Drosophila melanogaster: one gene and its partner. The protein of the gene in region 1 interacts with the protein of each later gene in a pairwise test. Each region holds a gene or a part of one and is shown on either strand. Other genes may lie near its edges.

Evidence for each region.
Region 2: the proteins of CG32756 (region 1) and CG4218 interact in a two-hybrid assay, tested with the Drosophila melanogaster proteins (one large-scale study listed by BioGRID).

What each region holds. Positions count from the first base shown.
Region 1 is NC_004354.4:5,943,781-5,948,876, reverse strand, and holds CG32756 (uncharacterized protein), read right to left. Parts: upstream 3,196-5,096; 5' UTR 3,117-3,195; coding exon 2,958-3,116; intron 2,897-2,957; coding exon 2,711-2,896; intron 2,645-2,710; coding exon 2,506-2,644; intron 2,419-2,505; coding exon 2,184-2,418; intron 2,123-2,183; coding exon 1,462-2,122; 3' UTR 629-1,461; coding exon of another isoform or gene 565-628; 3' UTR 524-564; downstream 1-523. Other genes in the region: CG6041 (uncharacterized protein), read right to left, coding at 565-628; CG12728 (uncharacterized protein), read right to left, coding at 4,490-5,096.
Region 2 is NT_033779.5:14,546,724-14,550,947, forward strand, and holds CG4218 (uncharacterized protein), read right to left. Parts: upstream 2,387-4,224; 5' UTR 2,231-2,386; coding exon 1,928-2,230; intron 1,863-1,927; coding exon of another isoform or gene 1,842-1,862; exon of another isoform or gene 1,692-1,841; intron 1,532-1,691; coding exon 1,144-1,531; intron 1,090-1,143; coding exon of another isoform or gene 1,073-1,089; coding exon 918-1,072; 3' UTR 775-917; downstream 1-774.

The DNA of each region.
Region 1 (5,096 bases):
GTATGGAAAAACAAGACAATCTAATCGAACGTAAAGTGATTGCCACTCCTTTTGAAATTGGATAATTCCGAAAATTAGTCAGTGTCATAGAAAAAAATGTTCTTTTGTTCTACAATAATGGCGATGGAAATATCCAGTAAATCGAAAAAGGTAATTACCATAACCATATACCAATTTGGCATATTTATAATGCTGTTTTGAACATTTTGAAACTTAATTTTTTTTTAAATCCGAAAGCAGTTGAATTTGACCACTTATTGATTGTTTCTTTTACACATTGGAATATGATATGTTTCTTTTATCTTGGGTAATAACCAAACACTTTTGCAAACCATTTATCACAACAAAAAGCAAAACAAAAATGTGAGCAAATTGATAACTTCTGTGTGTGAAGTGTTGGGGTTTACCCAACTTGAATAGTTTTAGGCTTCGATTTTCACATAACTTTTAACGAAACGACCATAATTCGTTTACTGGTTCGTTCTGTTGAGGTAAATACAATCTATACTTTCGTATCACTATTCGGCTGTAATTTGGATTGATTGCGATCAAACTGTGACTCACTTTCGCCGGAGGCCAGTGCTCCTAGAAATAGCGCTATGGCCAGTATGGCCCAGACTTTAGCCATCTCTCTTGAGTAACTTGGCAGTATGGGATTTCGAAATGATACAGGTGACTGACTATCGACCGAATTTCTTGAATAGAGCCACCGCAATGAGCCATCCCGACACATGGCCAGTTGATATTATTTGTGGTTTGCCTTTAGCTTATCTTATCGCCAAATGTGCGTAAATTGAATGTTGCCAAAGCCCCAAAGCTCCACATTGACAACAGCTCGATGGCTCGAATCGGCTGCCATAAAAGTAAACAAATGGCAAATCAAAGCAAAATTCGTTTTTGATTTCAATGGCACCAAAGGGAATGGATTTGGTAACGCCAGAACACCACAGTAACTGGTTGATTGGCTGGGATTAGACAAACTTTAAAGGTTATTTATTCTAATTGTAAATGGGGTGTCTTGTTTTGTTTTATTCAATTTTATTAGTAATTACGCCAAAAAAATATTTAACAAAAAACATTTAGCATAAAATGCATTGATCAGGAGGCTATAACCGTTGGAAAGCCGTGACTAATCGGACGCATTTTAATATCAGTCGATATGTTCCATAGAGATAGGAGTTAGTTGCTGCTTGTATGCAGTAGAATTCAACTTGTTTGTGTACTGAGGGTGTTTTGGTAAGATGTCGTTTTAAAATCTACAACACTATACATTGTTTTGTTTCATTTGATTGCTGTTCGATGGACTTAGGTACGAATACCTAATCAACAAATGGAATCATGTCTTTTATCCTTGTATCACTGAGGATTTGTTTTTATCTCAAAAAAAAAAAAAAAAAAAAACGTATGTACTAAGGCTAAGGTTTTGCTTGTAGCACCATTTAGACTGAGATCGTTTCCAAATTATTTTTTCTCTAGATTATTGATCGCTTCTGCGACGCGACCAGTTGAGTAAATCAGTGCGGCTTTGATCTCTTCCAGCTCAATTTGATGAATTACATCCAAATTCCCCTCGGATATTCCGACTTCGGGTTCTTGAGTGAATGCCGGGGGGTAATCGTAAAAATCATTAATAGAATCCAAAGCGTTCGATGCCTCCCTAGTGACCTCCTCATCATCAGAAGAAGAATTCTCATCATTAAAAGAAGCATCCTCATATTTAGAGGCATCATCATCTTTAGAAGAAGCATCCTCATCTTTAGAAGAAGCATCCTCATATTTAGAAGAAGTATACGCATCTTTAGAAGAAGCATCCTCATCTTCAGAAGAAGCATACTGTTCCTGAGATGCAAGTTCATATACACCATTTCCGACGGTTGGATTAAATTTGGTTAGTTGTCGGCCAGACCATCCTTGGGAAAGCCCCGAAGATGTGGATGACTCTTCGTCATCATCAGTGAGATCATTCTTGGTGTCCATTGGCGCTAGCTCTACTTTTAAGATTACATTTACGTTTGTCTCTTGGGAACTCTGCGAGCTTTTGTACTCGACAAGCGGATTGGAGCGGCGCTGCATTACCTTGCGCTCCATATGATTGGTATTGATTTCAAGAGCCTTGCGCTTCCTGCAATTGCGAAAACATATCTTATTAATCGGTAAATGTGAACACATTGTACCAATCCCACCTAATGCGAGGAGCTTCTTTTGGGCTTGATGCCTTCGAAGAAGCAAAGTAGCCGTTTGACGAAGAATAGGGCGCGACATCCCGTGCCCATGGCGAAGAAAGCGATGTCCAATTAGGCGATGGCTTATCAGCAAAAAAAGTACTCTGCGCCTTCTGGTAGGCAGCGGAACAGTCCAGCAATTGCTTGTGCTCATTCATAAAAGCCTCGAGATCAAAGGGCTGGGTTTCCACGGTCACTAAAGAAGGCATAAGGTTTTGCGATTACTAACTAAGCGAATGGAATGCACAAGAACTTTCGATTTGCAAACTTGTTCTTAACTAACCTCTGCGCAGCTGGCATCCCTCGGTGCGATACTGGTTCAGCTCCTTGTCCTTGGCATGGATAATCCCTAGCAGAAGGGGTATCTGAGCCCGTAGTCCCAAAGCCGTGGACATTGTGTTCAAGAACATTTGGCTATACAACTTTGGGAATAATGGCACTAATTATTATAGTTCTTGGAACTGATTCTGCTAAAGTCAGTTACTGACCTGTGCGGCATCCATGGGTCTCAGGTGCCATTCCCACTTGAGGAAAACTTTGAAATTCGCCATGGCATACTTCAGTTTCAGGACGTTCAATGGGTGCTGGTAATCCTGTTCGACATGCAATGGATCCTTGTTGAGCAGGACCTGGCGCACCAATTCCTCGGGAAACTTCACACGCGCGTTGAGCGTCTGGTCGAAAAAACGTGTTGCACTCACACTATTTCACCACATGAAAATGCGGAAAACTTACTTTCAAACGCTGCTGGTAATCGCGTTTCATCAAAGTCTCGGAGTAAGTCCACTTCTCGCGAGGACGGAAAACGTGAATAGTTAGGGTTTCATCATGCTGCCCCTCAGTGCAGGCGAACAGGTGCTGCAAGCCATTTATATTCACTACTTTCAATAGCATTTTGAAGTTACGTTTAGAAGGATCAGAAATCAAAGGAAAGAAACATCACTGACGCACGCCGTAGAGATGAAAAAGAATCGATAGTACCGTCTAGGTATCGAATTCTTACCAATCTATCGATTGTTCTTTGGCGGTAACGATGGTGATGTATAAAGATTCCCAACAAAAATGGGATGTAACTCTATACCTATTTGAACTAACCATTAGAAGTATAAATCAAATATACTTTATAACAGCATTATATTATATATTATAATGTTATTATATTATTATAATATGAAACAAGTAGTACCTAAACCTTTATGTGTTCACGCCACATCAACAGAGTCTGAGCGTAGGCTGGACGTATAATAGGTAACCGCAGGGCTTTCCTTAAAACGATCAATGCTGAAATACTTTTTCTGCAGGGAAATGCATGGATAGAATGCCTGTGCGTATTTCAATTAACTAATCCACGCGGTTGTATTTATAGACATGTATTTATATTATATTATATATTATAAGATCCTAAATGTGTAGATCAGTTATAGTTGTGACCCACCGATGGGAACAACACATTATTGTGGGAATTCAGGGTTCAGGAAAGCATTACTCAGGATCCAAAACTAGCCTCGTCTAGCTGTCTTTCATCCTTCTGTTGTAATCCTAGATCAGCCTGAAAAGGCTGAAAGCTTCTAAAGCAAATGGGATAAGGCAAACTTTAAAGATTATTTATTCAAACTGCAAACGTTTCTTTTTTTATCAATTTTATTAGTAATCGTGCCAAAAAATATTTAACATAAAATGCATTGATCAGGAGGTTATAACCGCTGGAAAGCCCTGACTAATCGGTCGATAATTGACCAGAAAATTTCCGGGCAATCATTTTGACAAATTTTAATATTATTCGATATGTTCCATAGAGATAGGAGTTAGTTGCTGCTTCTATGCAATGGAACTCAACTTGTTTGTGTACTGAGGGTGTTTTGGTAAGACGTTTTAAAATCTACAACACTATACATTGTTTTGTTTCATTTGATTGCTGTTCGATGGACTTAGGTACGAATACCTAATCAACAAATGGAATCATGTCTTTATCCTTTTATCACTGAGGATTTGTGTTTGTCAACTTGTTTGTGTACGTGTACTGAGGGTGTTTGATAAGACGTCTTTTTAATATCTACAACACTATACAGTTCTTTGTTTCATTTGATTGCTGTTCGATGGACTTAGGTACGAATACCTAATCAACAAATGGAATCATGTATTTTATCCTTTTATCACTAAGGACTTGTTTTTATCTAAAAAAAAAAAAAAAAAACAAAAAAAAAAAACGTATGTACTAAGTGTGAAGTTTTGCTTGTAGCACCATTTAGAATGAGATCGTTTCCAAATTATTTTTGCGCTAACTTATTGATATAGCTCTGGATCGCTTTTTCGATGCGTTCAGTTGAGTAAATCAGTACGGCTTTGATATCTTCCAGCACAGTTCGAAGAATTAAATCCCAATTCTGATCGGACTTTCCGACTTTGGGTTCTTGGATGAGTTCCCTTGGGGCATCGTAAAACTCTTTTAAAGATTCAACCTTCTTTATGACGAAATTGAAAGCGTTCGATGCCTCCCTAGTGACCTCTTCATATTCAGAAGAAGCATCCTCATCTTTAGAAGAAGTATCCTCATCTTTAGACGGAGCATCCTCATCTTTAGAAGAAGTATTCTCATCTTTGGAAGAAGCATCCTCATCTTTAGAAGAAGCATCCTCATATTTAGAAGAAGTATCCCCATTTTTAGAAGAAGCATCCTCATCTTCAGAAGAAGCATACTGTTCCTGAGATGCAAGTTCATATACACCACTTCCGACGGTTGGATTAAATTTGGTTAGTTTGGCCGACCATCCTTGGGAAAGCCCCGAAGATGTGGATGACTCTTCGTCATCATCAGTGAGATCATTCTTGGTGTCCATTGGCGCTAGCTCTACTTTTAAGATTAAATTTACGTTT
Region 2 (4,224 bases), on another chromosome or scaffold:
AAGCTTCCTGCTGAGATCCCCGCCATCCTCCTGTCCATCTATACTATATGTATGGTATATATAGTTTTCCGTCGCCCACATGGAGTGGGCCTCCGCTCATTAGCTGCTGCATTCGGAGATGCTGAACAAGCCACTTAATTTAAATTTAAATGTTTACTTCTCGCTATGCGTGTGTGTTGCGTGTTGTGTGGGGCCGAGTATTTTGTCTGCGTTGCTTTTAGTGTTTCTACACCCTCCTCAACCAATGTATCACTCCTTCAGTACACTGCAAAAATATAAAGCATGTGAAATTAATGTTTTAAATTATAATGCTAACCACTCTAGCTTTATATATTAATTTTACGAATTTCTTATTGATACCTAATAACCATAAGTATAACATCTAAAGTTACTTTACCAAAGTTAGCAATACAATGTGTAGAGTGACTGTAGTGACAGCTTATGTTCTGTTCTAATATGCAGTTTAAGTTATTTTTTTGAACAGTGCATCATCCGCTCTGTGTCACGACAGGGCAAGATTTATTTTCGGTATTCCATGGGCGACTAAAATGCGCTGTCAGCGCAGCAGTTGCTGCCATACGTCGCCGTCGCCCGGCTATGGTCATGCCTTGGGCTTGGGCCATATAGATACATTAGCTGATGGTGGTCCGGATCCGGACCAAGGGGACCCACAGAGCGATCGTTCCCCCTCATTGCACTTGACACTCGAAATTGATGCGCCACTGCGCCCAAGCCGGGCCACATTAATTAGGCAAAATATTGACACGCTGACGTGTGGTGTTGCCTATTGATTAACGCGTCTTTTCAATGGGATCGGTTTTATTGGATTATTTTTAGTGGGATTTTGGGGGGATTGGTTTGGCTTAGTTTGGATCTTCACTTGTGGTTTTTTGTGTGTGGTTGGCTATTGAAAAGGCCTAGTAGATGGGCTTCCTCTTCGGTGGCAGGTGGCTGGGAATCCTCATGTTGTTGGCGTTGTGAGCTGGAATTTTCTTTGTCTTCCTGCTGCCGCCGTGGAAAGGACGAAGAACGCGTATGATCAACTGCATAAATGCTCCCCAGCGCGCATGACCTAGGGTTTAGATGAGGCTTTGGATTAACCTACATGGGACTGCTCTTTTCGTGGTCTTTTGATGCCCTTACCATAGTCCTGGAAATTGCATTTCCCCTTTGCCATCTTGGTGCTGAAAACCTCTGCCTTCTTATCCACTATCTCCGAACTAGTAACCATATTCGAGAGCAGCGATTTAGATTTCTTAACCCGCGGTGTTTCAGCTACCTCAGGACTATGTTCTGGTACCACATTGCATACCTCAACGATACCAGAGTTGGTCTTCAATGGAGGACGATCCTCCGATTTCATGCCATTTGCGCTGGCGAACCGAGCACAACTCTCCGTGGACTTCTTGAGCAGAAACCAGGATTGCTGGAGAACATGACCTTCTTCGATGAGTTTCTCGTAGCCATTGAGAATGCGGCGCACATCCACGTTGATCAGTTCCTCGGGAACCTCGGGAAGATCGCCAAACTCCTGAAATCAATACAAAAAGTAAATACATAAAATAGTTGCAAAGAATATTTCAAAATTTTGTTGAGCTGCACTTTTTAGTTGCAATTGTATCAATCGACTGTCATATGAACACAACCTTTAAAGCCCTTAATCGCTTTCAGCATTCCAATAAAACATTTTTGGGTTATATACAATTTATTTAAATATTAAGTATTTCACGCTGAAAGACAATCCAGGTCTGAATCCAAAAATGTTCGTCAGTATAAATCCAATATATCCTCATATAAAAGGTTTGCAATTTTTCAAATGACAAAAGTAACACTTAAATGAACTACTTGTCAATTAAATTTTGCTATGAACGTAGTAGTTTAGGGTAATAAGATTAAGCAATAATTATTGATGGTAATGCAAACCCACCTGCGAGTTCTTCCGCAGATCTTCAAAGCGCTGAATTAGCTTCTTGATATTAAGACTGCTCTTGGAACCCTTGGTGATCCCGGCACCCACACCCGCTGTAGTATTGGTTGTCACATTTTCATCGATCGAATCGGTTGGTAATGTCTCGGATTCCGACCCATCCATACTGGAGGAGCTCATCCTGCTGAGTATCTTGGCCGTTTGCTCCATGAAGGACGCCTGGCGATCGCGTAGCTCCTGCAGTCGCATCTTCAGCTCGTCGAGGTATGCCAGCTGGCGGGGTGTGGGCTGCCTGGTTGCCATTGTCAATTTTGCTATCCCACTTTTAGATTCTTTCGAACATGTGAATGGATCCGAAAATGCTTAAGTTTTCGGTTTTTTTTTTTGGGCTATGGATACTTGTGTTGGGCTTGTCAGACCAATTGTCTCTAAATAAGAGTTTCAGTGCTTAATACTATGACTGCAAAGAGACTGACTACTCGGTTACCGGTTTTATGACAACGCCACCATAGTTTGTAACTAAGTATGCTGTGCATTGGAACCCAAGGAAGTAAGCTATAACCATTCGAATTATTTCTTAAGAGCAAAGACCCTTTTAGCGATGTAACTATTCTATCATATACGTAATTTGATGTAAAGTGGATTAGGGTATTTTTAGAGTATCGCTTGGTCGTATTTCATAAGTTTGGCTCGCTCTTTGGACATGGCCTATTACTCGCTATTTTTATGGGCCCCAAATTGAGATATCTCCTGCAATTCTGGCTGAGCTAACTAAGTTGTAACTGCCCGCTGCCTCACGAAACCGATCCCTCCCCCAACTTTCATTCGCCTGTGGTTGAACAATGGAGCGATGTGGCAAGGACAGTGGGTGCGGAGGGGCAACTCCTGATACACCTATATATCTCTGGTTTAGCGTCTTGGCTGGACTCACCTTTGCGATGCTGCGGGTGGTTGGGGCTAGTTTGGAATTTCACGGAGGAAAACGTGCCGCTGCCATCGGCTGACGCCTACAATGAAGAAAAGGGGGCGTGTCGGCCACTCTGTGACTCCCAGACTGCTGTTGATTTCCCCCGGAGGTGGATACCAACCCCTCCAGCATCCTCCTCCCATGCCAGAGAGTGTGCAATTGTTGTTTTCATATTTTAATGCCTTTTTGAGTTGGTAGGCGTGCCACGACACGATTCTTCTTACCGATAAGCTGTTATTTTTATGGGCCCCCGCCGAATCGGATCGACTTGAAGTGGAGTCGGTGGTGCAGGGTATTGCCGGGTGGAGCCGGGTGGTGCTCCGTGGTGTGCGGTGTGGGCTGGCTGCCGACTTAAAGAAGTTAAAATTATTACACCGCAATTGTCTTGATCGTTGATTTATGTGCGCTTTTGTTGTCGGCTCTCCTGGCTCGCGGCTATGGTTTTTCGCTTTTTATTACTTTTTTGAAGTTGCCAGTTGGCCAACAGGCAAATTTGTGTGGCTGTTGATATTTATTGGGCATGGTCCGGGCATTGGCATCAATTGTGTATGCAACATGGGAAGTTGATTATGCCTCTCATTAGCCACCGTATTTTTTCCTTGTGCACGAAATGGCGACAATTCCATTCCCATGGACATGAAAGTGGCCCATTTGCAGTTTACTAGCACATCGGGTTTGGATAGTAGGTAATTTATTTTGCTAGCATGTCTTTTCGATTACTAATAGTTATTAAAATTACTAAAATAGTTAAGTTAAAATAATAGATTTATTAAAGATCATATTGATCTTGACATTTTTCTTATTTGCGTGGAAGCTAAAAACAGAATTTTCAATGGGATAGCCTTCCATTTCATTTCGAATTAGTCAATGGCTCTTTTCGGCAACTTTAGGCATTCCCTAATTGAGTTCTTGATTCGGCGACTCCACTTCCTCCTCAGCGTTTTTCGGTGAATGTCTGGCCGGTGTCATAATCTCATCGCCTCCTCCGGACCAAGCCCAACCCAATGCGATCCGATCCGAGTCCCATTGTGCGACTCCAGCACGATTAAAGCCAACCGCATTTGCAGCCGCCTTCAATTGCCTGAAAACTTAATGATTTCATCTTTCATTGAATTCAAATTTGTTTCCCCATCGGGCCCCCACGATGTCCGAGTGCGATTTGCAGCTGTGCAGGGAGCACGACGTTCGATGTTGGGGCACCGGCAAAATGTGCTCGATGTTTGGGGCTGCCGAATGTGGGCGTGCCCCCATCATACGCCCCTGGAGTTATTGTCGTTGCTGTTCTGCACTGTTGATAGCCAACGCCGCGGACTCGGTTGGCCGAGCCTCG